Pelodiscus sinensis: one gene and its partner. The protein of the gene in region 2 purifies or fractionates together with the protein of the main gene of each other region. This does not show direct contact. Links are inferred from orthologs where the notes say so. Each region holds a gene or a part of one and is shown on either strand. Other genes may lie near its edges. The genes, in order: MAGI1 and RAPGEF2.

What was found.
Region 1: the proteins of RAPGEF2 (region 2) and MAGI1 purify together in Homo sapiens (co-immunoprecipitation; 3 studies listed by BioGRID and IntAct, with this or other methods). This does not show direct contact. The link is inferred for Pelodiscus sinensis from reciprocal best matches to the Homo sapiens genes RAPGEF2 and MAGI1.

What each region holds. Positions count from the first base shown.
Region 1 is NC_134721.1:6,035,395-6,050,433, forward strand, and holds the start of MAGI1 (membrane-associated guanylate kinase, WW and PDZ domain-containing protein 1), read right to left. Parts: upstream 7,656-15,039; 5' UTR 7,506-7,655; coding exon 7,202-7,505; intron 1-7,201. UniProt on the Homo sapiens protein: Plays a role in coupling actin fibers to cell junctions in endothelial cells, via its interaction with AMOTL2 and CDH5. May regulate acid-induced ASIC3 currents by modulating its expression at the cell surface.
Region 2 is NC_134715.1:59,793,063-59,808,249, reverse strand, and holds the start of RAPGEF2 (rap guanine nucleotide exchange factor 2), read right to left. Parts: upstream 5,762-15,187; 5' UTR 4,971-5,761; coding exon 4,902-4,970; intron 1-4,901. UniProt on the Homo sapiens protein: Functions as a guanine nucleotide exchange factor (GEF), which activates Rap and Ras family of small GTPases by exchanging bound GDP for free GTP in a cAMP-dependent manner.

The DNA of each region.
Region 1 (15,039 bases), on a different chromosome or scaffold from region 2:
TGAGTGCCCCATCTTGGGAATGGCTTGGCAGACACTTTAAAATTTGGCCAACATTGTATCCATCAGCAGAAGTGCTACAAATCTGGTAGATGTGCTTTAAGGACCTTTTTTGGGAGGAACTCAGTGGAGACGTGCATATGGATGTGGTCGAAGCAGGTCTGAGAATAGAAAACCAGTTGCAACTTCAAGTGTGGCAAGATTAGCAACCTAGTCACATCTATTCCTTCATTTTATTTCCTTTACCAATGAGACACTCACATTTTGGTTATCACACTTCTGAATGCAGTCCCTCAAGTTATTAAAGAGTTGATGCAGGTCAATGTCATGTTTCACATTTAGCAGATTAGCAACTCAGAGATGGAGCACTTGTGCTATAAAGTAAAAATTCAGTCCAACAAACCCAGACAAACTGTGTTAATATCTTATAATTGCAATAGTTTTGAAACATTGCTTGTAATTATCCTGTAATTAGAGTGTAAATATACTGCAATAGGATGTCCCATAACGAGAGAAAGCCTGGAGTTCGCATCACATAATGTGCTGAAAGATTAAACTTATTGTGAAAAATAATCCAATGTTATCACATGAAAGGCTTGCATTAACTCTGTAAAATGCTAATAATGGCTGAGGTGTTAAATTAAGACTATGGCTGCATAACTCTGGGATGTTAACCCCCTCTTCATAGCAGAGGACATAAAGGTATGCGCATGGGTGCATAGCTAACCATTTTGCCACAAGCCGAGTCAATTTTCACATTCTAAAATCCTAACAAATGCTTACAGTGTGTAAACTTGATTGGGATAAAAACCTGATCTTGACTGCAATGATATTTTAATTCACAGCAGTCTACGTTTCGAGGGCGGTAAGAGCACCAATATATTACATGCACAAGATTTCTGATCAACACAGGGCCAGGCACTAAAGCGTCACTTATTTTATGCTTGGAGAGCAGCTAGCACATTGTGGGCGCTATTAGATTATATTTGCCATTTATATTACAAGTCCAAAATAGAAGCAGACTTTAAAAATATCAGTAAGAAATGTTTGATTAGTATAAATTTACATGAGCCATACTTCAGATTCTATTACCTAAGGATGGAGGTCAAACTGGAAATGCACAGGGAATTATCAATGTGTTTTTGTTTGATGTTTTGTTGATGTGTTGCAACAAAAAAAAAAAAAAAAAACACAATAAACCCTCTATCAGAACCCAAGAGAGATCATGTGACAGATCAAGGAAGTAAATTCTTAAAAGCAGCAAGAGTTTTATAACATTTGCATTTACCTGAAACAGGTAAATGGAAGTCCAATATAAAAATTTGCACCCTGCTTTTGTATTTCAGAGCTATGATTCAGTGACCATATTTTGTCTGGTTTTAGCACCAGCCAGAGGTTCTGTAATCCGCATATCATATGTTTAATGTTACCTATTAACCTGACAGCCTGCATAAAGGCATCGGTATTTTTTATATTAATCGATATTTATACAAAAAAATAATTGGAAGACACCACATCCCTCACAGGCCCCTCCTGGGAAAATGATGTCAGAATATGTGCCCATGCAAGTAACTTTTAAAGGGGCTGGTTTAGTGACATTAATGAAGTCCAACACCTCATGGCTGCTCAATTGTAATTAATGTCAGCACACCATAGAAATGTAGTGTCAACTAATCATGTTTTAGAATCTCTCTCAGGCTCAAGATAAGGTTTTAAATGAACCAAACATACATGACAGCAGATAGCGACCACCATTTGGGAATGAATGTCTGCCTTTGTTTACCTTGTACTTAACTTTTTAAAAATCCCCTCCCCCTCTCCTTTCCTACTAACTTCAGAGTAACCAAAAAAAAAAAAAATCACTCATGTAAACTGATCCTCAAGTACCATAACTTCAGCTGGTAGTACTTAATTTTAAAAAAAGACAGTTTTCTTCACCAACCTTTGAGCTTACAGTGACAAGGATGACTTGTACAATTTGACATATGCATCTAATCAAAGAGTTAAAAAAACTGACTAATCTTGAAATATCCCTCAAACTCCATGTGTCGTGAGGAAACAAAGAACAAAAAGACATCCTGTATTAAATGAAAGGCACACAACTGGTCTGCTGTGGAGAAGTTAACTTGTCTGTTGTCAGGAACAACATGTTCAAAGCCTGGCACAAACAGAACAGGTCATCTCAATCAGGATATATAAGCAGCAACCAGAGAGAGAAATTAAAAAGAACGTTCTGTTAAGGATTGTCTCTTTATCCAATGGATTTAGCCTGGAATTTTTAAGTTTATTGCAGAATGCTACAAAGTTAAGCACGGAGAACGGAAATCAAGATATTACACTAATACAAGTCTTACACTATCAAACATATTAACGGGAGAACGATAAAGAAAGTGGGTGAAATAATGTCTTTTACTGTACCAACTTCTGTTGGTGACAAAAACAAGCATTTTCTTAGTGAGTTTTCTTCCTCAGGAGAAAGAATACCAGTTTTGCAGTTTTAGACCAAATGCAGTGGTACATACAACTATATTTATTAATTTGAATACAGCTTAATCACTTATTTGTTTGAAACTGAAGCAACAAAAAGGAAAGAATAGTGGGTAATTTTAAAAACACTACACCTCAGACGTAAAATCTTTTCCATTGTTTTCATTTTTCACTTTTACCCTTAAGTGGCCTCGCTCTAACAGCACTGAAAGGTACTAAGTCAAATTTCAGAAGCACTTTTTCTCCCAAACAAAAAGAGATTATAACATTACACTTTTAAAAAAAATACAAAAGTATCTATGGGGCAGATCTGTTCACTTATTCCATGTTCAAAGCATAAGAGAAATTAAAGCACACACCTCCCATATGACCAGTTACTTGGAGTAACTGTTTATAAGGGTTAATAAAAGTAGCTGTTTTCTTATGTGCCTCCTCCCCCTTCATCACTACAGTATGGCAAGTGCCCATTCAAACTGAATAGTCTAAGGAAAAGAAAGTGTTAAATAAAAAGTTTGCATTTTGAATTGTTAATCCTATAAAACTTAGCTTTAATGGTGAGGAGTGTGTATAACCTATAAAAACTTCATTTCAAAGTTGTTTTTTGTTTGGGTGTTTGTGTTAACCAACAATCAAATCCATTGTTTTTTCTGTTCAAGCCTGCAGATGACTGGCTTATTTATAGTAATCTTCCTGTTTTCCCAGCCTTGTAAATGTCATACAAAGCGACAAGCCAATAAAGCATGTAAGTTTCCAGGTTCAGTTTGTCACAAAACTTCACCAGTCAGGCAGGCACTAAGGACTGGGGAGATGTAGGGGAAATGGAATCAGACAGTTAAAATGTGTTTACACTCATTCACTTAACACTGTACTTTGTAGCATGTTTGAGTAACTTGCAACCCTTGCCGAATATGATCAGTTCAAGATATATTAAAAAGGGGAACTGCTACTGGAAATGGACATAGAAGTCATGCATTTTAAATAGGCTAAGTCTGAATCAGTCAAATTGGTCAATGTCCATTTCACCATGCATACATCTACAAATCAACAAAATTATATTTCTGTAACAGAAATTTACAGAATGGCAAAAAAAATGCTGCTTGAGAACTTACTGGCATTTGAATTAAGAATATTTACTTTGTATATTTTTGACATGTTGATTATTTGAGTTCTCATGATTATAAAGGTTTAATTTCTTGCACCTCAACATCTGACAACCTTCCATGCCTGACACATCCCGTACTTTCCTGCAACCATTTACGTTTAAATACGTTTTTTAAAAAAGCACAAGCTAAAACTCATAATTCTGCACTACTGTGAAAATCTCAAATTATTATCATTATCAAAAGAGTGCTTAAACAAACAGCCCTTAAAACCCTATTTGCACTTTTTTATGTTTGCTTACTGTATGCATTTCACTCAGTCTGAACAAAGAAAACCAATTTCACTTTGTTCATGGTCAATTTCACTTCCAGGTAGGGATGTAAATGTTTAACGGTAAGCAATGCCTTACAGCAGGGGTGGCCAACCTGTGGCTCTTGAGCCACACGTGGCTCTTTGCTCACAGAAATGCGGCTTTCCGGGTTATGGCTCGTTCAGAGCCGCATGCCCGCTTTGTGCATGTGCTCCAGTTCCTGGAGGAAGACGTGCGTGGCTGGGGCAGCTCCGGTGAGACTCAGGCATTGGGTTGAAATGGGAGGGGCCTGTGGATGCCTGGGTCTGGAGGAGGGCATTGGGTTAGAGTGGGGGAAACTGGGGGAGGGATGTGTGGCTCTTTGCACTACTATCCACAGCTCCTTTGGCTCTTCATGTCTAACTGGTTGGCCATCCCTGCCTTACAGGCATGCTTACTGGGATAACCAGTGCTCAGCTGGGCAGGAGCAGTCCCCCACCCCCCGCCTAAGGGGCTGCTCCAGACCGGCAGGGCGGCCCACCCCACCATGGGCGGAGGGACCTGCTCCAACACCCCAAACCCACCCACAGCTCGGTAGGCGGTTCATAGCTTAAACCTACAGCTTAACCGATTAACAATTTACAGAAAATTTTACATCCCTATTTCCAGTGCTTCAGCATTTGCATTGCAAATACAGGGTGGGGGGCACCAGATGTTCCCACTGCAGGTAAAAAAGGGAGGCGGGGAAGGTGGACACTTCTACTGATTTTAGGTTTGATAAAGTTAGTCTTTACACTGATATTTCTTTATGTAATGGGGGGGGGGGAATTCTGAACTCACATTCCATTTTAAAAAGGAAACGGACATATATTACAATGACAACTCAAGATTACACATTGTTACATAACATATCACATGATGGGACAGAACACTACTCCTCTGATAACGTCCACAGAACAAGTGCATGGAACCTACAGCATTAGCTTTTAATAGGGCTAATGGACAGAAGTTCAGAGGAGAGCTCTGCTGATTTACATGAAAGGCAACAGCCAAACAACAAAGACAGAGATTAATTCTCTTCTGAGCCAAGTCAGTAGGTTGTTGCCTGCAAATCAACTACAGAAAACACTGCAGCATTAGCCAACCACTGCAAATCCCTGTAGTTTGGGATGTGCACGTTTGTGCAGTAATACACTTTCCTCTAAAGAATCTCCTGAATTATCCTAACAAAGCATCCCTTCCTGCCTCCATTTATAGATGACCTGGTGTGCTTTTTTAGGCCACCATGCAAATTTACAGGTGTTCCAATATAATCCTATTTACAGTGTTTCAAAGATCCTGGGTTTTCAAATAACAGCTGCTGGAACAGGAATAGTTTCCTGGTACTAAATTCAAGTCCCACACTGGAAACTACAAACCTGTTATCTAGACCTGTTGTGCTAACCTGCAAAAAGTAAAGTGTCTTTTCAGTAGGGAAGGCTTTTTGCTGTTGCTTTCTAGAGTCTCAGTTGAGATACTTATCTCCTACAATCCCAACCACTAAAAGAGAAAGCAAGATTAAAATAACCCTCCTGGTGCAGGATACTGTAGTTACATCTTTTCCCATGCACACACTGTGCCAACCCTTTGACAAGGCTAAGGCAGGCAGCTGGCAATCACATGCCTATGCTTTTTAACAAGACTTTAGTCATAATCCAGCAGTGCAACCAAATGCTCCAGCTGTAAGAGACGCATCCCTGTTGTAGGAGTAAAATCTTTCAGGAAATGCCTCCAGGTCCAGTGAAATGAAATATTTGCTTTGTTCACTAATAGAGTTAGCTATCAGATGCAAGCATTTCACTCCACAAGGACTAAGCCTCCAGAACCGCCTGTAGCTAGAGGTTTTTGGTACACTTAGAAAAAGACTGAGGAAGTGGGTCTGGCCCAGGAAAGCTCATCACCTAATAAACCATCTTGTTAGTCTTTAAAGTGCTACATAGTCCTGTTTTTTGTCTTCAGGGGTTTGCTCCTTGTGCTTAAGGCAGGCCAGACTGGAAGGAAATAAAACAAAAGAGTCAAGTTTCCCCATGACAACAGGGTTCTGTTGGCACAGGGGAATCCAAGTGACCCCCACTTAATAATGCTTTGCGAACAAGGTGTTTCAAAGGTCATTCAGTGATCCCAGATGACCGATAGAAATGAACCCTTTGTGTGCTTTAAAAAGAAACAAAAAAGCCAACCACACCAACCAACTGCTCCCGGCTAGTCTAGTTGAGCCCTGCGGCACACCACCAACCAGCGAGTGGCCTTGTAGCACCTGAGCCGCTCACAAGATCAAGAGCTTCCGTGGGCCAAACCCACGCCCTGGGATACACACGAGTCTGAGGAAGCGGGCTTGGCCCGGGAAAACTCACGGTACCATGGGGGTGTTCGCCTCTAAGGCGCCACACCGGGTTTTTCCAAGTTACACACACACCCTGCTACCCCCTCGGAGACTCCCCATGGGGTAAGGAAGCGGGGAGCCGCTGTGGCCCCCCCATGGCAGGGACGCCGGAGCAAAAGGAGAAGCGAACACAACTTTGCTGCCAATTCTCCCCCCCGCCTCCCAACTTCGCTGCCAACTCTCTCTCCTCCCCCCTTCGCTGCCAACCCCCCCAACTTCTCTACCAAATCCCCCCAATTCTCTCCCCCACTCCCTACTTCTTTGCCAACCCCCCCACAACTTCTCTACCAAATCCCCCCAACTCTCTCCCCACCCCCATTTCGCTGCCAACCCCCCCCACAACTTCTCTACGAAATCCCCCCAACTCTCTCCCTCATCCCCCAGCCAACCCCCCCCACAACTTCTCTACCAAATCCCCCCAACTCTCTCCTCTCGCCCCCAACTTCGCTGCCAACCCCCTCACAACTTCTCTACCAAATCCCCCCAACTCTCTCCCCCACCCCCACTTCGCTGCCAACCCCCCCCACAACTTCTCTACGAAATCCCCCCAACTCTCTCCCCCACCCCCACTTCGCTGCCAACCCCCCCCCACAACTTCTCTACGAAATCCCCCCAACTCTCTCCCCCACCCCCAGCCAACCCCCCCCACAACTTCTTTACCAAATCCCCCCAACTCTCCTCTCGCCCCCCCTTCAATGCCAACTCTCCCCCCAACTTCTCTACCAACTCCCCCCCAAAAAGTCTCGCTTTGCCTCCATCCCTGAGTGGCTGCGCGCTCGGAGCGCCGGGCTGCGCGGAGCCACCCCCGCCTGGCAGGAGCCGCCGCCGAGGCTGCCCGGCGGGCAGGTGGCAGGCGGCGGCGAGCCCCGAAGTTCGGCCCGAGGTCCCCCCCGCGAGCCCCGCACCTGGTCTGACGGCGGCGAGGGCGATGGGCTCGGGGCCGCCGCGCAGCAGCTCCAGCACGTCGTAGCGGGGCAAGCCGGACACGCGCACCCCCTGCACCTCCAGCAGCAGCTCGCCGGGGCTCAGCTCGCCGCCCGCCGCCAGCACCGGCTCGCCGCCCTCCTCCGGCGCCCCCACGTAGGGGAACTGGCCGTGCTCCGCGCCCCCCAGCAGGGGCAGCCCCGGCCGCCCGCCCGCCGCCCGGCTGGCCGCGCACTGGTGCAGCCGCCCGCTCCAGTGGCTCTTGCGCTGCAGGGCGCGGGCCATGGCGCCCGGGAGCAGGTGGCGGGCGAGCCCGGGCCGCTCAGGCCATCCCGCCCCGCCCGGCCCCCTGCGCGCGCGGCCCCTTTAAGCCGCTCCGGAGCCGCCGCCGCCGCCGGGCTGGGTCCAGCGCAGCCCGTCCCGTGCCAGCCGGCAGCCCCCGGCACCGCCGCGCAGGCGCCCTGCGAGCGCGCTCCGCTCCCCGCCCCGCCCCGCCGGCCCGAGCCGCGGCTGCCCGCCCGGCTGGGGAGGAACTGAGTTGGGGGGCAGAGGCGGGGGGGCTGAAAGGGGGCAGGCAGTTGGGGGGAGAAGGGGGAGCTGGGATGGGGAGCAAAGGGGGGAGGGAGTTGGGGTGGGGAGCAAAGGGGGCAGGGAGTTGGGGGAGAAGGGGCTGTTGGGGTGGGGAGCAAAGGGGGCAGGGAGTTGGGGGGAGAAGAGGGAGCTGGGATGGGGAGCAAAGGGGGGAGGGAGTTGGGGTGGGGAGCAAAAGGGGCAGGGAGTTGGGGGAGAAGGGGCTGTTGGGGTGGGGAGCAAAGGGGGCAGGGAGTTGGGGGGAGAAGTGGCTGTTGGGGTGGGGAGCAAAGGGGGCAGGGAGTTGGGGGGAGAAGTGGCTGTTGGGGTGGGGAGCAAAGGGGGCAGGTAGTTGGGGGAGAAGGGGCTGTTGGGGTGGGGAGCAAAGGGGGCAGGGAGTTGGGGGGAGAAGGGGGAGCTGGGATGGGGAGCAAAGGGGGGAGGGAGTTGGGGTGGGGAGCAAAGGGGGCAGGGAGTTGGGGGAGAAGGGGCTGTTGGGGTGGGGAGCAAAGGGGGCAGGGAGTTGGGGCGGGGAGCAAAGGGGGCAGGGAGTTGGGGGAAGAAGGGGGAGCTGGGATGGGGAGCAAAGGGGGCAGGGAGTTGCGGGGAGAAGGGGGAGCTGGGATGGGGAGCAAAGGGGGGAGGGAGTTGGGGTGGGGAGCAAAGGGGGCAGGGAGTTGGGGGAGAAGGGGCTGTTGGGGTGGGGAGCAAAGGGGGCAGGGAGTTGGGGGGAGAAGAGGGAGCTGGGATGGGGAGCAAAGGGGGGAGGGAGTTGGGGTGGGGAGCAAAAGGGGCAGGGAGTTGGGGGAGAAGGGGCTGTTGGGGTGGGGAGCAAAGGGGGCAGGGAGTTGGGGGGAGAAGTGGCTGTTGGGGTGGGGAGCAAAGGGGGCAGGGAGTTGGGGTGGGGAGCAAAGGGGGCAGGGAGTTGGGGGAGAAGTGGCTGTTGGGGTGGGGAGCAAAGGGGGCAGGGAGTTGGGGTGGGGAGCAAAGGGGGCAGGTAGTTGGGGGAGAAGGGGCTGTTGGGGTGGGGAGCAAAGGGGGCAGGGAGTTGGGGGGAGAAGGGGCTGTTGGGGTGGGGAGCAAAGGGGGCAGGGAGTTGGAGGGAGAAGGGGCTGTTGGGGTGGGAAGCAAAGGGGGCAGGGAGTTGGAGGGAGAAGGGGCTGTTGGGGTGGGAAGCAAAGGGGGCAGGGAGTTGGGGGAGAAGGGGCTGCTGGGGTGGGGAGCAAAGGGGGCAGGGAGTTGGGGGGAGAAGTGGCTGTTGGGGTGGGGAGCAAAGGGGGCAGGTAGTTGGGGGAGAAGGGGCTGTTGGGGTGGGGAGCAAAGGGGGCAGGGAGTTGGGGGGAGAAGGGGGAGCTGGGATGGGGAGCAAAGGGGGGAGGGAGTTGGGGTGGGGAGCAAAGGGGGCAGGGAGTTGGGGGAGAAGGGGCTGTTGGGGTGGGGAGCAAAGGGGGCAGGGAGTTGGGGCGGGGAGCAAAGGGGGCAGGGAGTTGGGGGAAGAAGGGGGAGCTGGGATGGGGAGCAAAGGGGGCAGGGAGTTGCGGGGAGAAGGGGGAGCTGGGATGGGGAGCAAAGGGGGGAGGGAGTTGGGGTGGGGAGCAAAGGGGGCAGGGAGTTGGGGGAGAAGGGGCTGTTGGGGTGGGGAGCAAAGGGGGCAGGGAGTTGGGGGGAGAAGAGGGAGCTGGGATGGGGAGCAAAGGGGGGAGGGAGTTGGGGTGGGGAGCAAAAGGGGCAGGGAGTTGGGGGAGAAGGGGCTGTTGGGGTGGGGAGCAAAGGGGGCAGGGAGTTGGGGGGAGAAGTGGCTGTTGGGGTGGGGAGCAAAGGGGGCAGGGAGTTGGGGTGGGGAGCAAAGGGGGCAGGGAGTTGGGGGAGAAGTGGCTGTTGGGGTGGGGAGCAAAGGGGGCAGGGAGTTGGGGTGGGGAGCAAAGGGGGCAGGTAGTTGGGGGAGAAGGGGCTGTTGGGGTGGGGAGCAAAGGGGGCAGGGAGTTGGGGGGAGAAGGGGCTGTTGGGGTGGGGAGCAAAGGGGGCAGGGAGTTGGAGGGAGAAGGGGCTGTTGGGGTGGGAAGCAAAGGGGGCAGGGAGTTGGAGGGAGAAGGGGCTGTTGGGGTGGGAAGCAAAGGGGGCAGGGAGTTGGGGGAGAAGGGGCTGCTGGGGTGGGGAGCAAAGGGGAAGAGGGTGGGGGAAGGGAGAGTTGGGATGGAGTTGGGGTGGGGAGCAAAGGAGGGGAAGGGGGAGTTGGGATGGGGAGGTGGGCCGGAAGGGAGAGTTGGGTGTGAAAGGGGGAGTTGGAATGGGAAGCAAAGGGGGCAGAGAGTTGGGGAGGGAGAAGGGGAGTTGGGATGGGAAGCAAAGAGGGAAGAGGATGGGGGAAGGAGAAATTGGGGTGGGGAGCAAAGGGGGCAGGGAGTTGGGGGAGAAGGGGGTATTGGGATGGGAAGCAAAGGGGGAAGAGGATGGGGAAACGGGGTGGGAGTTGGGGTGAGGAGCAAAGGGTGGTGGGAGTGAAAGGGAGCTGGGATAAAAGGGGGACCTGGGTGGGGAGTAAAGGGGGGAGGAGAAGTAGGGATAAGGAGCAGATTTGGGGGTGGATGATGGGAGGGAGCTGGGTTGGAGGACAGTGACGGGAGAGTAAAGGGCAAGGAGCTGGATTTGGGGGGGAGGGGAGCAGGAGGCAGACTAGCAGAGGTGTGAAGTGGAAGCTGAAGTCCAGGGGCAAGGAGCTACACTGAGTGATGGAGGCTGGGGGTTGGGAGGGGCTGAGACAGGGGAAGGAGCCAGGCTGGGGTGAAAGGAGGAAATGAGGTGAGCTGGGAGCAGGGTTGGGGGCTGAGGTAGCAGGAACAAGGATCCTTGGGAATGGATGGAGAGTGGGGATGGTGATGAGCTGGGAGCAGAGGGAGAAGAAGCAATGGCGGGGGGGGGGGGGGGAGGAAGAGATGGAGAGAAAAGTTTGCCTGGTACTTTTTCTGGGATGAAGTGGGGGGAGGGAAAAGATCCTGTCCAAGCTGCTGGTGCCTGGACAGAGATGCTGGGAAGTGAATTACTGTTGGGAGGGGAGAGTTTGTGAGAGCTGTTGCTTGTGTATGGGGTGGAAAGGGAGGCAGAAAAACATCAGAAATGCAGGCATGAAGCCCTCACTTGAGGGTGCAGTGATTATAGAGTTCATGGTGATGTTACTTCCCAAAGCAAAAAGAGTCTGGAATGGTAGGCTGGGAACTGAGAAGCTGCAAGGAATACGGGGGGTTACTGTGGTGTGAGGAGCTCTATAGTTTGTCTACCTCCTGGCCACCTGGCAGAGGGAGAAACAAGAGCAACTCTCTTTTGGGTGCTTGACAATGTCTATCTTTTCTACAGCTGGTCCAAATCCTTCTCTTTCTGGGTTGCTCAAACTGCAGCTAGTTCATAGTTTCCTTCATTAGTTACAAAAGGTGGAGCTTGTAGTAAGGTTGCCTAACTCTTTCCATTATAAGTCCCTGTTTTGAGTTACTTATAACTTTTCCAACTTTAACTATTCAGGCTGAAGTTTTCCAGGTTGGGTGTGTGCCTCTGGCTGAGTTAGTTTCAGCAGAAAACAGCTCCACCATTTCACAAAATGAGTTAGGAAAAAATTAAAATGTTTTGAACTTTCCCATTCTCACAACTGTTTTATTGAGAAGATGTGTCTGTGCGATGCAGCTGAAGTTTAGTAAGATTTTTGCTCTAGTTTGAGGGTTGTGCCTTTTACTGCCTTAGAGAAAGTGCATCAAATTTTGACTACATTGGAGGCTCTGAAGCTCAGTTTACACTTGCAAGGTAAAGGTTTCTTGGAGGCTGGCACTAAATAAGGCAAGGGTCTTACAGGAAAAAAATACACAACATAGTCATGTCCTTAAAAACTATTCTGTAAGGCACTCAAGCAGGGAGACCAAAATAAATATGCACAGGCATCCTTAATTCTGGCATTTCTGACTCTGCACTCTTAATATTCTGTTGACCCAGGGTTTTCAGTGTACTTTATTGTTTAAGAGATTATGAAAAATGGCATCTTGAACCAATTCCTGAAGAGAAGCCTGCACCCAGCCCTTCCCCACAAAGGAGTTGATAATCCCACACCATCATCTCCCTACCACATTTTTCCCACTAAGGATAGGCCAAAGCTCTGCAAGCAACTCCAAAACATCATTAACTGACCCAGGATGAAACTTGCATGGGAAACAAAAAGGGGAGTTATCTCTTGCCAGAAAAGCTCTTTCCTCCCTCAAGCTGAAAGCCCAATTTGAAGTCAGAGCTGTGCAGCGGATGAGAATATATTTTACTGGAATATTTACATGGTGTTGCTGGGGTCCTTAACTCAGCTTTTATTTTTTGGAAAAAAAAAAATGAAAATGTCCATGCTCCATTTGAATCATTGCTATAGGGTGGGGATGGGGACGAAGGGTTCAGTCTGCAGGCTGCTCTGGGGAAGAGGATTACCCCAGCCCTCTCTCACCACAGCAGCTTGGGGCCAGGTGAAAAGTTCCTTGCTGTGATTGCTGCCGTTCCAGTGGGCACAGCTGGGGTGGGGATGCATGGCCCCCTTGCTGGGGCAGGTCCAAGCCCCGTGCATGCCCCAGTCAGAGTGAGGAATACAGCAAACTCTGCACTTTCCCCTTGCGCCATGAGGAAAGGGAACAGTTAGCAATGAACCCATACAAATTGGGGGGTAGGGAGACCTCAGTCCCTGCTGCCTTCCCTATAGGGTGCTTGGGGTGGAAGGCTCTGAGCTGGGGCAGTTCAGGACCAGTGTGCGGCTCCCTCATCCAATTCCTTTCACCTGCCTGGTAGTTCTGTCTCTTTTCTGTATGCTTCTCAGAAAAACAGTTCCACTTACCACACATCCCATTGTTCTGGCACAGCCAAACCCTAACCTTGCTTTCAGTTCTGTTAAGAAGAAGCTGCACCCCAAATCTGGCAGTCCTAATTCTTACCATTTAGGAGGACAAAAAGAAACTCAAATATTTAGTATATGGGACTGTGACGGCGCGTTGGGGGTCCCCCGTCTCCTGCACCCCGAAATGGCATGAACAGACTGCACCAGCCGGTGGAATAGAGGAAGTTTATTGCCTCTCCAGGATACAGCACAGCACAGATGTAATCTGGTCACAGAGCTGGGCTAGGATGCCTCAGGCCCCCTTGAGATGGGGGAGACTGGGCCCCTAAACTCCAGCCCCTTTCCCTAGCCTGTCTCCTCCATGCTCCCAGACAGCCAGCAACTAACTAACCCTCTTCCAGCCCTGCCCCCCAGCCAGGGCAGCATTCCACCTTCCTTTGTTCCTCTCCATGGGGGGTGTCTGGCCATACTGGTTTGCATAGTGACTCATCCTGTTTTGCTGGGTCGTGGTACCCACAGCAGCCAGTGGGGGTTACCCCAGAGCCAGCAGCATAGAAACCAGCCAGGTACCCCCACTACGTCACAGGGACCACTAAAGTTTCTGAGCTACAACAAGCTCTGCCTCAGCCATCCAAGCAGTTTTACCCATGAATGGAGTCTGAATAGCAAGAAATGCTGGATTTGGTTCCTAAATGAAGACGATGAACACACCGCACCCAGAACACAGCTGCGGATCGGAATTCTGGGGTTGAAACAAGTAAGCCCTTCTTTGCTCCCTGAACAGCCTGCTGTAAGGTGTTAGGTCACAGTCTGTCAGACTTTGCCCCCCCCCCCCATCTCTCGCTATCTTCCCTCACACTTCATCTCTCTGGTTATCTGTATACCAAGGTGACCTGTAAAGTTAGAATACAAGGAGGAACGTGGGAACCAGTGTTCTGAAAGTTACAGACAGAAGTTTGACAGTCATGCCCTATCAGTGGTGGCTGAGCACTATTTTTGCCCCCACGCTTGTTTCACTGACCCAATGAACTTGATGCTCTGCTTCAATGTGAAGTTTGTGTTCTAGTATCATTATGCAGGAGGTAGTAGCTGATGTGTGTAAAGGGTATTGTCTCCAGTCTCCCCACCTCTGCGCTTTTCCCCAAATAAAAAAGTATGGCCGCTGTGTAAGAGGGGTAAAATGCACGTTGGGCCATTGTTGTTTCTATTACAGTCGTGCCTAAAATCCCATGTGGAGGTGAGGGCCCCCTTTTGGCTAGGTAATGTCCAGACATAAATAAGAAATAGTTTGTACCTCAATAGCATGATAATTGAAATAGACCAGACAGATAAAGGGTAGAAGAAAAGCCAAACAACTTGCCCACAGCAGGACTGTGGAAAGGCCAGGAAATAAAATCCTTGGCCTTTCAATGCCCATATTCATTCTCCCCCAAGGACTGGGGGGTACAGACCAAACTTTGGGATGTACAACACCTGTGGGAACGGGTGAGTAGAAACATTCAGAAGGGCAGCTGATAATGTCAGCAAATTTCCAAAAAGAAGCTCAAATAACCACATAGGAATTTTTATCCAGGACTATTGTGTGTGTCCATTTCTCTCTCTTTAAACTCTCTCCCTGCCTTTTCTAATTTGGAATTTTTATTACAAAGATCCGCTGCTGCTCTGTGTTTGACCTGAAAGCTGGTGACACTGCTGTGTCTTAGCCTTCCAAGAACAACTGCCTAGCATCTGCTAAGCTGCTTTAGAGGTCTCTCCCATTGGCTGTCCAAGCTGCCCGTCATAGGGCCGTGACCTGCCTCTCGGTCTTGGGTTGTGCAGCATGGCTCAGTGACCAGGCTGAGTAAGTTCCCCAGGGATCGGCTGCTAGGCAGGTCTGCTAAACATGAGACAGTGGCCTGTCTAGAAAAAGACGGCTTTATTTTTTATTTGTGGGATTTTTCTGCATGGCTGCTCATCAGAAATAAGGCCCAACTGATACACATCAAGAGACAAGTCTGAGTCCACACATGAGAAGAGGTTGGCTACATCTAGACTGGCATGATTTTCCGCAAATGCTTCTAACGGAAAAGTTTTCCGTTAAAAGCATTTGCGGAAAAGAGCGTCTAGATTGGCACGGACACTTTTCTGCAAAAGCACTTTTTGTGGAAAAGCGTCTGTGCCCATCTAGACGCGCTTTTGCGCAAAAAAGCCCTGATCGCCATTTTCGCGATCGGGGCTTTTTTGCGCAACACAAATCTGAGCTGTCTACACTGGCCCTTTTGCGCAAAAGGACTTTTGCCCAAACGGGAGCAGCATAGTATTTCCGCAAGAAGCACTGATTTCTTACATAGTGATAGAAATGTAGCCGTGTTAGTCTGGGGTAGTTGAAGCAAAATGCAGGACAATGTAGCACTTTAAAGACTA
Region 2 (15,187 bases):
ATTTTGCTAGTTCAGAAGAACCCCTAAACAACACATTTACTCACATATTGTTGTTCAAGCAATGACAAATACAAAAAGTAGATAGAAAAATAAAAAGTTCTTTTAAAAAAAGGAACTAATCTTTAAATGCATTTGTAAGATGGATAAAAGATCTGTATTTTAATCAAGCACCCTATACAGTTTCCCTTGAAACACTTGTTTTCTATGACCATGAAGCACTACAAATAGCTTGACACTTATTTGGAATGATTCAGCAACATAATGCTAGATCAAGAAGTGAATGTTCATGTCTGTCCCTATTAATGAGTTCTCATACAATTAAACTCTTTCATCGGTCACCAGATAAAACAATGCTGTATTCCAAAAACAATGCTACTGGAGAACAAACTGAAAAATTAACTGAAATAAATATAAGTACCTCCTATAATTAAACGATTGTTTCTCTCAAATATTTGGCAGATATCTGCCAGATAGAAGCATCCTGTCTTGAGGTACTCGGACATTAACAGATGTCATTGGCAGACGTCAACTGGGTAATTAGATAGTCCTCCCCTTTCAACATGAAACGTATTACTAACGCCGCTTCTCAGTGCGTTCCAGCTCCACTCCCGAGGAATCCCTGCCATTCTGCGCTGCTGCCTCTGTGGGGTGCCAGGTTGGAGCTGGTCTGCAAGGGGAATCAGTTTAAAAACAAGCTCCCCTTGCGAACCGGCTGCCTGTCCCCATGCTGCTGCCTCTGATACAGAGGCTGCTGCCACCATGCGCTGCTGCTTTGGTCAGGAGAGGGGAGGTATCTGAGCTCCCGGACCCAGCGCAAGCCCGAACTGAGCCAGGCTGCTGGCCCACCTGGCCCCTAATACACTTTCAATGCACAGCCACAGCGGAGGCAGGTCCCGGACCCAGCACAAGCCAGGACTGAGCCGGGCTTCTGGCCAGCCTGCTAAAAAAATTACTGGCGAGGAGAAGGGGGGCAAGCATGTAGTCTATAGCATTAACCTCTAAGCTTTTGCTCATGGGTTAATTGACTACACTATTACATCCCTAGCTTGAAGCCACAAATATATTAAAAGGCATTTTTAAGAAAACCCACTATATTACATAAAGCTTGGGGGCATAAATATGATCGGAATTCATTAACATTTAGAAGTTTAATATTTGACGATCAAACTTTCTATTTGATCCTTCAAAGAAAAACAATATGATTAGCTTAATAAAGCAATTACGTAAGAGAAGAGTTCTGCTATACAAGAGATGCAATTAATAATGTAAAACAATTGGTCATATACATTTTAGATTATATTATTTTCTGAATTTTGTGAAGTAGAATACAACACTCCATTGACTAGAATAGCTCAGGTAGGCTTTGAATATCCAGTGTAAACCTGGACACATTCCCACAATAAAGATTTTTCTGCAATAATTTCTGAAGCAATGCTCTAACAGGACCTTTTAAAAGCTGTCCTAATTAGAAAAGGGTTTCTGAACAGGAAAAAAGTTCTAACAAAATCTCATTGACCCCCCTCCCTTCATAATCTAATGTAATAGTTTGCAAAGCTGTGTGTTCAAACACGGGCTTGCTATCCTGCAGTCAGTCCTCTATTCTCATTTTGACTCACAATGAAGTCATTACCCTAAACTTACATCATCACAATTGAGGGCAAAACACTAACATCAAATGCAGAATTACAGACATCACAAATAGAGAGGAGTAGCTGGGCATGTATAGATAAAGCACTTGCTAAAACACAGCATTCAATAAGCATTGAAAAGAACAAAGAAACATGACCAACAGATGCTTCCTTGCCTATGCACATTCTCTTACATGCACATTTCTGTCAATATAAAAAATGTAACCCTTTTTCATAACAGCCACAACTATACGACTTAATATGTGAAGATTCTTCAACACAAACTTAAATAACTACCTTTCTAATAAAAATCTGGCTTATTTTTAGGGAAGGCCAGCAGCAAAATCAAAGATAGCTAAAATTACTTTTTTAAGCACAACAATAGCCCCTGGCCTTTATGGCTTGATAAAAATACTGATTTTAAACTACAAAGTAATCAAGAAAGAAGCTTACTCACCACCATACAGTATGCCTTAAGATTAAAATGAAGTAATTCCTTCTCAGATAGGAAAGAAAAATTAAATTCTTTTTTAAAATTAAAAACTTAAGCCACTCAATTCAGAAAAAGCACAGGTGAAAATAAAAATACTTAAACACTCTAAAAAGTATAAATGAATTTTCCTTCATCAAGTCTTCTCCCCAGAAGTAGGAAGAGTCACATTTGATCACCAACCTTGAAGACGTCCAGCACTGCCAACAAAGCATGTTTCCCATAGATCTAGTCTGTCTTGTTGACTGTTTTGGCCAGTCAAACCCTAAAGGATTTAGGGTTTCTTTCTCTGTAGACTACTACAGCAGGCTTTTGGATATTTTAAATTTTGTAGTGCTAAAACAATCCTAGTGTTCTGGATTTAGCTTTCTATACTGTGTTCTTCGCATTGGCTCTATCCCTTTGCATTCAGGTTAGTTTCTTCACTGCATCAATTCTTCTTAAAAAAACTGATTGGCAGGGACACTGGAAAGTTTAACAGTTCACTTTATTTGGCACAGATATACAACTGTCACAGTGGACGTTTTGTCTTCTCACAGGCTGGTTTGGAGGCTCCACTACCTGACTGATTTCTGAGCAACTGCCATTATCTCTGCTGCTGACCAACTGACAGTCTTTTTATAATGTTCTCCCAAATCTCTTTGACTCCCATTACTGGAATTTAAGCTTCTCCCAGAAAAAGAGATCTTACTACATATTAACAAGTAGTATCCTTCTGAAATAACAGCATTCGGTTTCCAAATCTAACTTTTCAGTCACTAGTTGTGCTACTCTGATGCCTGTAGGCTTTCATACTGGTGCCAAGATTCAAGGCAAGTACTATAATAAACATTTGAAAAGGTCAAGCAAGGACACACAAACACAACTTTAACTTCACTATAATAAAAGGAATTTGTTCTAGAATGAGATGTAGAAAAGAATAATGTATTTTCATAAAATCAGGACTATCTTTTCTAACACATTTACACCATACTTTTCAACGTGATCTGACGTTGTCACAAGCTCAAGGATGTAAAACTGAATCCACAATGACTTATCTAAAGAAGGAATTCTGGATGCTGCCCCAAAAGTCAAAGTTCTTTCCTCAACCACAATTTAAAATGTCAACAGCCAATCAAAAATCTGGCAAAATCATCAGTAACCATGGTAATAAAAAATAAAACCCCTCTCTAAGATCAGCATATACTAAGTTCTTAGAGAAATAGGACAAATCTTTAGAAAACAGGACAGATGGCACTGCAACTAATGAGCAAAGTAACTCCTTGAATCATTAGCTATTGAACTACAGCTTGACTCAGGGATCAGCATAAAGCTTATTTGTCTTTAGACAGTTGGCAGCAGTAGCACATCCAGTCACCACTCCAAAGCAGTAAGAATTCACTCACCTTACGGAGACTCAAAAAACAAGTCAAAATAATTTTACACATTTTCCTCCCTTCTGTCTCTAATGTTTACAAAGCCCCATGCGCTAAAAATCCTACAGGAGTATATAAGTAAAATTGTTATTTATCCCACACATACCACATATAAGTGGGCCCCCAAGTGAAGACAGATTCAAATACAGCATTTAAAAAAACCTTCTCCCATGTTACTATGAAAGCATTTCTATTTCTGCAAGAATTTCTCCCTATTTTAAGGAAGCAAAGATTTGCCAAAAATACAACATTCACCTCTCTTATAAACGGATGGGCCAGTAATGTTGTATGCGCTATATATGTACGCAGTGAATTCAATTCCAGAATTAAACTACTTGTTATATATTAAGAATAGACACATGCTCTCAGTTTAACATTTCTTCTCTTTCCATGAACTAGCATCCTATACATCAATATTTTGGGTGAGTTAAGTTTGTGTAACAGTGAGTATGTTGCACTCCTATACAAACTATAGTGTTCAAAGTTTCTATTAACACCATAGTATCTTCTTTTAAAACACACTATGCAAAACAGAGAGGAAAGACAGCAGCAGTTACTAAATCTGGGTTTCCCATAGAGTCAGCTTTCAGGATTTATGCAACTCACAGTCAAAGAGATGTCCTCCCCCCTTCTCCTCTGTTGCTGTCTGACCACACAGGGGTTCTCTGCCCAATTTTAGACAAAGATAAAGGGAATGAACAGACCGACTAAGGGAATGTGAGCCCCCCAAAAGTAACAACAGTACTGCGAGAGAGGAGTGGGAAGAGAAATCTTAAAACTACTGCTGGCTGTGAATGAATAAGGAGTTCCTCCATCCCGTGAGTGGGAAAGGGGATTAGAGAGGTCTGAAAACAGATTAGCTGACATACGTATGTACAGATCAAGGAGTACTCGAAGCAGAGGAAATGTTTATGATGTGTGTGTGAGACAAACAAGAGATAAACAAGCAGTAGCTACGGGGAATGTTGGGGAAGGGAGGATTCATTATGTGGGAGTGGGTGGAAGATGAAAAAACTGCACTATGCAACGTGGAAGGGCATAAGGAAATAGGTACCTGTTGCCCCGTGTGCAGCACCCCGGGGGCACAGATCAGGTGATGCCTGCCTGTACCCTGGGGCTCCTATCCAGGAAGAAAAATGGGGGTCGGTGCCCGAGGTTAGGCTCCTCTTGAAAGGGAAAAGAAACAACAAAGGCTGTAGGAGCTCCCCGGGGCAGCGGGGGGCCGAGAGCTAAGAGGAGGGCGCTGCAAGGGGTAAGTCCCCAGCAGATCTCGAGGGCGGGGAGGGCTCCCTAAGGGGACACTACGGGGGAGAGCGAAGGGAGGGTCACGGGCCCCTCTGGCGCCGTTAGAGGGACACAGGGGGGTACCTGGGGGCTCCTCTCCGTCGGGTTCTTCATCACCGCCTGGCGGAAGCTGTTATCCACGTACGACGCCATCTCGTTCCGTCTCTGCCCCGGCCCCGCCGCCGCCTGCCCGGCCCCGCGGCGGCCCCTGCTGGGTGCGGGCTGGGCTGGGAAGCGGCGCCGAGCCCCGGCCCGAGGCGCGCGGCGGGGGAGCCGGGCTGGTCCCGGCGGGCTCCGCTCCCTGGCGCTGCCCGGCTGGCGGGCGCGGCCTCTCGCGGCTCCGGGTTCGCGGCCGCTGGGGGTGAAGCGCCGGGACTCAGCAGCGCCGCCGCCCGGGCAAGCCCGGCCGGCAGCGGGAGGGGCGGCCCGGGAGCTCCCGGGGTCCTGGCGCCTGGCGGCGGCTCCCGACTCCGGCTCTACTGGGCTCCGCCGTCCCGCTCCGCGGCTGCTGCGGCTGCATCCCCGCCGGCGCCTCCCATCCGGGCTGCGGGGCTGCGCTCCCGGCGGGCGCGGGGAGCTGGCGGGCGCGGCGCGGGCGGGGCCGGGCTGTCACGGGGGGAGCGGCCTCCGGCGCTGGCGGCTTTGTGCTGCTGCAACCATGGTGAGGAGCCCGCCGCACCGGCGGGGAGCGGCCAGCGGCGGCTGCAGCGCTCGGGGAGGGGCCGCGCCCAGCTCCCGCCCCGCGGCCCGGCCGACACCTCTTCCCCCGCGGAGCGTCGCCTGCTGTTTGATCCCAAGAGGGGTGTCGGGGTTCGGGTCAGCGCACCGCTCTCGGGCCCCGGGCGGGCCTGCCAGCCCCTGACCCACCCAGCTCTGCTACCACTCTCAGACCAGGAGGCTGGGTAGCCTCGCTAGGTACCCATATGGGGGCAGGCTTCAAAGCCCAGTGCCCCTACCGGCAGCCACCACTCTCCCAAGGAGAGGAGTCCAGTTCCCATGGGGTGAGAACAGGGGTTTGTGCTGTAAATGTCTTCCAGGTACTCCCATATAGGCTAGAGCAGACCCCCTGCAAGAAGTGAAAACTGAAGGGGAGCATTTTGTTGCTAGTGAACGTAAAATATGTGATTAAAGCAATAAATCTGACTTTGTGTTATTAATACAGTTTCTTTCCTAATAGCCTTTTTAAGTCATTTTGGGGAGTAGCAAAGGAAAGCCTACAATGTACAGAGGGTGCGGGAGTAGGGCAGTTGGTTGGGACTTGGAGGGGCAGGAGTCAGTGCACGAGATTGGGGAGCAGGAGGGATTCAGAGCAGGGGATTGGCGGTGTAGAGAGCAGGGGGGGGAGGGGAGTTAAGGGTTGGGACAGTCCCGTCATAGTGATCCTGCCACAAGCTGCTCCAGTTCCCAGCCAAATGGGAGCTGTGAGTGCAGCAATTGCAGACAGGGCAGTGCACAAGACAGGTTGCCAGACTCTATACCATACTCAGTTCATAGACAGATGGATTTAAACTGTGTCTGGATGTGGAAGACATTGCAATAATCTGTTCTAGCCCTGGCAAAATGATAGATTGTCAAACCTGGGAGAGGCTATTATGATAATCTGTTTTACACTTAACAGGATTTAGAATTTCATCCACAAATAGCTGCATCAAGCCATACTTTCTGAGGACAGAATATTGTTTAGAAAGACATCCAGTCCTGATGTAAAGACTTATACTGATAGAGAATACATTACATCTCTCAGAAAGGCATCCTAATGATTAAAAGCTTAAGGATGAAAGAATTTTGATTACTTATTCAAGAGAACTGCCAGAGGTTTCAATCTGTGACTATTCACACACCAGTGCAGGAACTCTTCCAGTATATTGCCAAGCTATTGTATAACAAGATTTACTGCATGGGTTATATTAGCCAGGTCCAAAGGGAAAGGTTTTACCTTCTAATAAGAGGCACATGCTGCTGCTGCCTTCATCATCTAAAAGCAGTTAGGGATCTAATAAGATCCCCCAACTGCAAACTCTGCTAACAAATGGACAAATGTCTTCAACTGGAGCCAAATATAATCTAAACCAACTCATGGCTTTCCACACTCCACAATAACTTTACCCCATGTCTTCAGTGGTATTTAAGTGTTGCTGCACCTAACAAATGGAATTCTCAGCCCCCGACTACCAGCATGGCTCCCCATACAAGAGTTGTTCATGTAAGGAAGGGATCTTCAGAAGCTAAACAAGTTGACTAGGGAATTTCCTAAACTATCCAGGAATGAAATGCCATGTTTAGGTGTTTAAACAGTGTCCTGGCTGACAAGCCAGAGGTAGGCACCTTCCTCTGCTTGGAATCTTCATCTATAATAAACCTCCAAAGCTCAGTCAGCCGCTTAAGTAGCTTATGCTCTAGCAACCAAATCTGCCTTGTGCTGTGTCTTACACTTGCACTACATTTACCCAAGCTATTGGCGGTTTGGATAGGTGGTGTGCAGTATTTGTGGTCTGTGTCCCGGCTGTTTGCTTCAGGTCTAACCAGTTTTAGGCATGCACAGAGCACACCTAAAGGATTGTCCCCTATTGGCAGAATAGGCATTCCCCTGCCTAGGTTTCAGCTTTAGCTAGAACACTGGACTATTTATTAGCTAGATCTGGGGCAGGGTGATGGGAGTAAAGGGTTGGCATCAAGACTTCAGGAGGCTCTGTGAATGCTGACCAGCAAAAACCTAGGCTCAGAGGGGACTTTTAAGCACTTGACTCCTGATTGATTTCAACTGGAATTTGGTGCCTAAATATGTTTTAAAATTTGGTTGTAATTTCTTTGGCAAGTCCACTCTTGTCACTTGTCTCTATGCTAATCAACATCAGCCAAATGTCCCGTTTGTGTCATGTTATATAAGAGAACAGAGAAAGAAAAACAAGATGTTTTAATTTACTTTTTTTGAGTCTCCTAGCGAATTTTCTCATATAGGAGCCTGACTTCATTTAAACTATGAGTTCCTTGCAGCAAAGACCAACGTTATTTGTGTTTCCCATAACATTGAGCATACCACAGCTGCTTAACAAATAATACTTGTTAATTATACATAATACTTTCAGCAATGTAGAACTGTTCAGTGGATTTGCTTTTCCAAATACTACCGTGCTATGTTATGTAAACACTGTTAACATTATAAAGGTTTAAAAAATTTTAAATGATAGCTTTTCAAATAATAGCACAAGAGTACATCTTTTAAGGTGCAAACATTACAGGATGTTTATTTCTAATTTATTGAAATTTAAGCATATGAAAAATATTTTTTTAAACAAAACCTAAATTTGAAGGCTTAAGTGAACTAGTAATTTACAGGCTAGTTTAGGAAGAGCTAGCTGACTGCTTAAGGAGTCTGTGGAGTAGCTGTGTGAAATTTACTAAATCTAGTCAGTTTCTCCATATAGGTCTTCACAGTGCTTTTTTTGTTTTAAAAAAAAAGTGCCAGCACTCCAGAAGAAAAGTTGTTGAGCTCTGACTGGAAGTGCTGGTACTGCATCTGGAGGTGCCAGTACTGCGTACCAGGCAGTACCATCACAAAAAAAGCACTGGGTCTTCCTCAATAGAAAAAGCTGCAAAAGTATACAAATTAGCAGGGTCTGATCTTAATGAAATGCTTGTGTGGCCAGTGCAGAGAATTCTGTGTAAAGTGTTGGAGTAAATGGAGGAAGTTCCATATCTCATCATCTTGATTTTCAATGCACAGGAGTTAGTTGTTTGAAAAGACAGGATGTTGTTTAAATTGACAGGACCGAAATCAATTCCCTATTCCCTAAAAATATCAGTTTTAAATGTGCCTCAGCTCTCCCCCTCCCTCCACTCAAAAAAACCAGAAAGAATGTATTATTCCTTCCAATTAATAAGGGAAGCTGCAACTGTGTGAAAGTGCCAGTTTCTCTTCTGAGAAACCTATCACCAAGCCAGGGTGCCTGTGATTCTCTTGAAATACACACACAGGCTATGTTTATACTACAAGGTTTGCGCAAACACCGGCAGAGCGTCCACACCTCAAGTGCATTTTTGCGCAAGAAAATTGACAGAACAGAGGGCTTTTGGCGGTAGAGTTATTCCTCTCCCCACAAGGAATAACTCCTTTTTGCACTACAGCTCTTGCACATAAAGGCGGGCATGGACGCCTATCGGAAAAAGCACAGGTGCTCTGATGACCATTCTCTGAATGGCCTTCAGAGCTTTCTTGTGCAAGAGTGTCTATGCAGTGTGGATGCTCTCTTGCACAAAAGCACATCACTTTTGCAATGCGCTTTGAGGTCCGGATGTGATTTTCCACAAGAAGTTTTTGCGCAAAAACTCTTGCATGAAAGGCTTCTTGCGCAAAACCCCTGCAGTGTAGACTAAGCCATAGTGTAAGTGCCACACAAGCATATGAAGCATTGATCTGTTTTTGAAGCATTTGAGGGCACTAAATCCTGTATGTTACAAGCAGAAAAACTAGTTTAATTTACAAGTGAAATGATATGCACGTCCGCAAATCAAGAGAAAGCTACCAACTCTATTTTACCATACAACTGTTATTCTTAATTTTAAGATTATATATTGACTGAGTCCCTCTAAGAATTTTAATTTGGTGATTGATCTATTTTATGGTGTCTATTACTATAGTATTTGAGAGTCACAATGGTATTTGGTTTCAGTGAAACAGTCTCTCCCCTCCCCCTCACCCCCGCCTCCCAACACTAATTATTTCTTAATTTGGATTTACTAGGTAAAAATAAATGGGGCCTAATGCAAACAGACATTATCCTTTCAACACATGATGGCATGGAATCTATTTCGTTCCGCTTAAGATTTTGCACTTGTCATAAAGCTTAAAGGTAGATATTTAAAGAAATGGATGTTGTTAGATTGTTAAGTCATATGAGTCTCAAATACGAACAATGCTCACTGGCAAAATAGGTACAAAATACTTAAAACTACAGAGATTGTTTTGTTTTTTTAAGTCAGTCCAGCATGGAACTCATGCACAATTTCTGTCAGAATAGGTTGTCAATGTAGAACTACATTTTCATGTATCTTGTATGAAATTACATACATAAGTAATTGCATACAAATTGTGTAAATAGCTATGTAAACTACAAAATAAGTTTATTTTAGGAGATGTACAACATGCTGGTATATTTGAAGACAGGATACAAAAGGGCATCTCATGAATTACCCTGGGTGTACTTTTATTTACCAAATTAAGTACTGTATATTTTCTTTAGTCCTTAATTACAACTTTAGATACATTTATGATCTACTTTAGATTAGTGGTGGGAGAGTCTCACTGACCCAGCACAACCCTTCCTAAGAGACTCTTCAGCTGGATAAGCCACTTGTTTTATGGAGCTTTTCTACCAGCCATCACCAGCACTAGTTTGTGCATGCTGTAACTGGCATAGATATGTTCTCTCTCAATTGTGGAAACACTGAGACAGAAATCTTCCAAACACAAAATTAAACTATAGCCATCAAATCATCTAGTGAACCAATCACAATGAATCATCTTTAGGTGGAGTAGGAAGGAAGGACCGTAAGCACACTCAAGTTAATATGTACAGTGCTTTATTATTAGAATGCACTCCTTGAAAATTTGCCCAGTGAGGGGCAAGTGTGTTTGCTAAATTTCAATCATTGTGTGATGTCAAAGATAGCAGACACAGATTAAGGATGGATTTTACATTCTGATGGCTTGTCATGTGGTTCAGTTTTTAGATAACGAGAGGAGCCAGTAAAAACACCTCAGATGAACTCTTGTTAACTTTACTGTGCACAAAATAGTAAAAGAAAGCAGTGCAATGTTGCACAGATCTATTTCAATACATGGGATAGTAAGCACAGACAGTAATAATAACACCTTTACCTAGGACAGTACACAAGCTACTCAATTATAAGAATATGAATATACTTATTCATGTAAATCACACACACACACACACACATACACAGACACAGTTCCAATGCTGTTACCCTTACGATTGTCAGACAGGAGGTCGTGGCCTCTTTCTTTTCCCATGTGCAGAGGCATCCACAATGCATCGGGCAATAGGAACTGGTTCATCTTCTTGTTGCAATGAGTAAGGTAGTAGGGACACCTTATTCAATCCCTCCCACTGATTAGATCTTCTACCCCTATATTTATAGCAAAGCGAGACTTGGTCGTTCTAGTAATATCTACCAATCAACTACATTTTGCATAAAATACCTATTATGCCAATATCTAGGATACATTTTACAATGCCAAAATATTGCAAAAGTGCTTCATTAATACTTTTTCTGTCTGTCTCTGGAAATTTTCTCTTATTAAAAATGGGATGTACTAGTACCAGGTTGTTTCTGCTCTTTTTGGCCTGGTCTCGCTGTCCTGTACCAGTTCTGCATAATTGGGCAAGCACTCCTGACTTTCCCCACCCTTTCTGGCCCGGCCTGAATGCATACATATGTGTGTGCCCAGGCTCGAGTCAGACCTAAGGTGGTTTGTTAGAGATCCATACTTTGGACAAGGCTGGAATGAGGCCTAACACTGCAGACATTGTTCTCTCGAGGGCTGTCCAGGCTCCGCTACATGGCTCTACATGTATAGACTGAAATCTTTATTCATTGCCAGATGTCCTATGAATGGTTTGGATATATTATACTAGCATCAGTGGTTTCTGAAAATAAGTGCTTCTCCAGATTTTTTTTCCTGGGACAGGGAGTCTGTTTTGTTTACAAACTGGGCACCTGTGATGTGTGATGAATATATAAAAGGTCTAGTAATTAAAGTAAGGATCAGGAAGTCCAAACCTGTAAAACAGGAATCCCTGGATGGAAGAAGGTTTGAAAAGAGAAGGAAGGGGATTGAGAAGTAATATAGCTAAGCCCTCAGAGCCAAGGTTATATTGAGAAAAGAGGAAGAGACGAGGGAAATAGGAGAAAAGAAGCCAAAACCCAGGGAAGAGATAGCCAGGGTCTCTGTAAACTCAACTCCAATTCATCTGATGAAGTAGGTTTTACCCATGAAAGCTCAGGCCCTAATACATATGTTAGTTTCTAAAGTGCCAGAGGACTCCTTGTTTTTGTGGTACTTATATGACTCCATTACCATAATACCTGAGTGCCTCACATCACATCTCCCCAGTGAGGTTGGCTAGTGCTGTGTTATACACATTGTACAGAGGGGGCACTGAGGGACACACAAATAAAGGCCAGATTTTCAAAGGGATTTAGGCACCTAATGATATTTTCAAAAGTACCTAAGGCTAAACTCCACTGGATGCCTAACTGCATCTTTGGGTGCCTTAAAACTTTTGAAACTCTATCCCTAAGGGACTGATGTGAGGTCATACAAGCAGTCCATGGTGACTGGGAAGTTGGTCTCTCAGGGCTAGCTCCCTATTGAGTGGATCAGCCTATCTTTATGCTTTAGGTTAGGCTGAAAAAAAGGACTCCGACTGAAGCAAAGCCAAGAAGCCATTTCTCTGAGGGTACATCTACACTAGCCCCCTAGATCGATCTAGGGAGGCTAATGAGGGTGACCAAAATTGCAAATCAAGCGCTTAAATATCCCGCGCTTGATTTGCATGTTTCCTGCTGGTCTCCATTTTAGAAATTGACTAGCCCGAAGTAACTGCCTGTGTCTACACGCAGCGGTGAAACGGGATTCCGATTTAAAGCCCTAACTCAAATTAGCTGGTATTCCTCCTGCAATGAGGTTTAGCAGCTAATTCGATTTAGGGGCTTTAAATCGGAATCCCATTTCATTGTCGTGTGTAGACGAGGATAGTTACTTTGGGCTAGTCAATTTAAAAAATGGCGACCGGCTGGGAACATGCAAATCAAGCACGGGATATTTAAATCCCGGGCTTGATTTGCAATTTCGGTCGCCCTCATTAGCCTCCCTAGATTGATCTAGGGGGCTAGTGTAGATGTACCCTGAGACTTCAGCAGCAGTGACAGTAAGGCAGCAAACCGGGGTGTGTTGCTCTAATAAGGAGCTGGCCAGTGCGGCGTGCTCCACTGCAGGCAAAGATGCAGTGTGCCCCCAGTCAGGCTCCCACCAGCTCCTGGAGCTCTCCTGCAGGCTGGCTTTGGAGGTCCCACCTACTATGCTAAGCAGAAGGCAGCCAGGTAGCAGATGAAAGGGGAGGGCTAGAGGTGCATTGTAGGTGGAGACATACATGCTCTCAGTCAGGCTTCTGGTGGGACATCCATGTCCCAGCCTGTCCTGCTGCCCCACTCTCATCATGCTGACCAGATGCTGGGCAACATATGCACATGCCATCCCTGCAGCGTGCACTGCTGCAGCTCCTAGGAAGAGGGGGAAGTGAGTGGCAGACTGCCAGCCCAGAGGGTCTTCTCAAGCCATATCTGCCCATTTGTTTACAGACACAGTGCCCCATATAGTCAGCTCACAGCTATCATAGAAGGAGCAGGTGCAGCATGGGACAGGGACTCATCTACAAGCCAGGTAGCCTGGCTGCAACTCGGACTGCCCCAGGCCAGCCCTGAGGCTCCCCTCCCCGCCTCTGCCTCTGGAACTGGGCCAGCCCCAAGCCCTCTTCCTGCACTCTCCTCCACACACTCCAGCTCCCTGCACTGACTCCTGCACATCACCCACTCAAACACAGCCTCTTGCCCTGAATCTTCTCATACCCCACTCACCTGCACAACCCACCCCCTACACAGCATTCCCCCACACCTACCTACATCCCAACTCCCTGCCCTGAGCCCCCCCACTCTTCATCTCACACTTATATTTCTTACAAGCACTGTCGTATTGCAGCCCCACCAGCTCCCCTACCCTGAATTTCCCCCGCCCCCGAGGGAGGTTGTGATATGACAGTACCATAAGAAAATCAAGTTACTTTCACCCCCAAGCTCTACAGAACTCACATTCCACAATTGGTGCAATTAAGATCTCTGCCTAGGAGCATATCTTCTATACTAAACTCAGGATGGGAGAGGGCTGCAGCCCACACACTACTGCCCCTGAATGTGATCTATATATATGTTGTTCTAAAACTACCTAAGCTTTTACCAATACTTTGTTTCTTTTTCTTAAAAAAGAAGTTAAGTTTCATATTAATTGTTACAAAATATTCTGTTGCCATTTTTGCAAACCAGATGTCCTGGTGCATGAGAAACAAAAAGGGAAATTGACTAGAAATTAATTTTATACTCCATGATTATTTATTGTTCTGCAGTAGCACTTACAGGCCTCACTCAGCCATCAGGGCCCATTGTAATAGGCACTGTACAAATTGACAAAAAGAAAAAAAAAAAGATGTCCGAGACCCAAATTGCTTACAATCTCAGTACAAGATGAGAGAGAGGCAAATACAACAGAAATAATGAAAAGTATAGAGGTCTGAGTGATAAGCAGCAATCACAGCATATTAGCTGACTAACTACTATTCTATTTTCATTATCCAAGCTAAAAGAACTGCAAATAATCCAACAAATAAATACCATAGAATACTTAGTAGAAAGTAAATTACATTTCTGGATTTTTAATAATCCAAAGTGGAGTTCATAATAAAGGTAAGAGAATTGGCGAAGTTTGTGTTTAAATCAGGCTCTGTCATTTAAGAACTGACAACAGTAAATGTGAACTATAGTCAATTGCTACTTTTTTTTTCTTATGTGAACACCAAAAGATTCATAAACATACCTAACAAAAAACAGAACACGGAAATGTTTGTGGTCAAACTAAAAGAGACGATCAAAATTCCACTACTGCAAAGAGGAGTGGAATATTAATAAGTAAATAATCTGTGTGGCATCCTTTACCATAAATGTCCCTTCACTATAAGAATACTACCGTATTTCAATTTGGGGATTCTAGCAATAGCTTAATGTTCAAAGTCTTTAACCAGAATTCTTTAATTAAATCACCACCCTATTGTATGCAATTAAGATGATTCCATAGGCCTGCAGTTACAAGTCTTTGACTTCAATTCATCCCAAATTTAAATTTTTAAATTAATTTATAATCTTTATTTTTTCTCTAAGACATGCTCTGTAAATTAAGTTTACAGAAAAATTCATCAGCAGCAAAGAATTATTGATTAATTATTCGAGATACAGCATTTCTTATCCAGACAAAATCCATTGTTTATTGTATTGCTTGTAATATAACTATTTCTTGGAACCAATCCCATACTTTTGCGTACAAACTTTGTTTTAACTGTCTGCTCTTATAATATGGTGTTTTATAGGACTCCCCATCATTGTTCTCTTTTGCAGATTTTAGAAGAATAGTATAATACACCATGAATTGTTTTCATTATAGTACCACCAGCAGTAATTAGACAAGCATTTGGCAGTATTAGTTTCTAAAAGCATTTGTAAGTCATCCTGTCGCTTTAAAATTA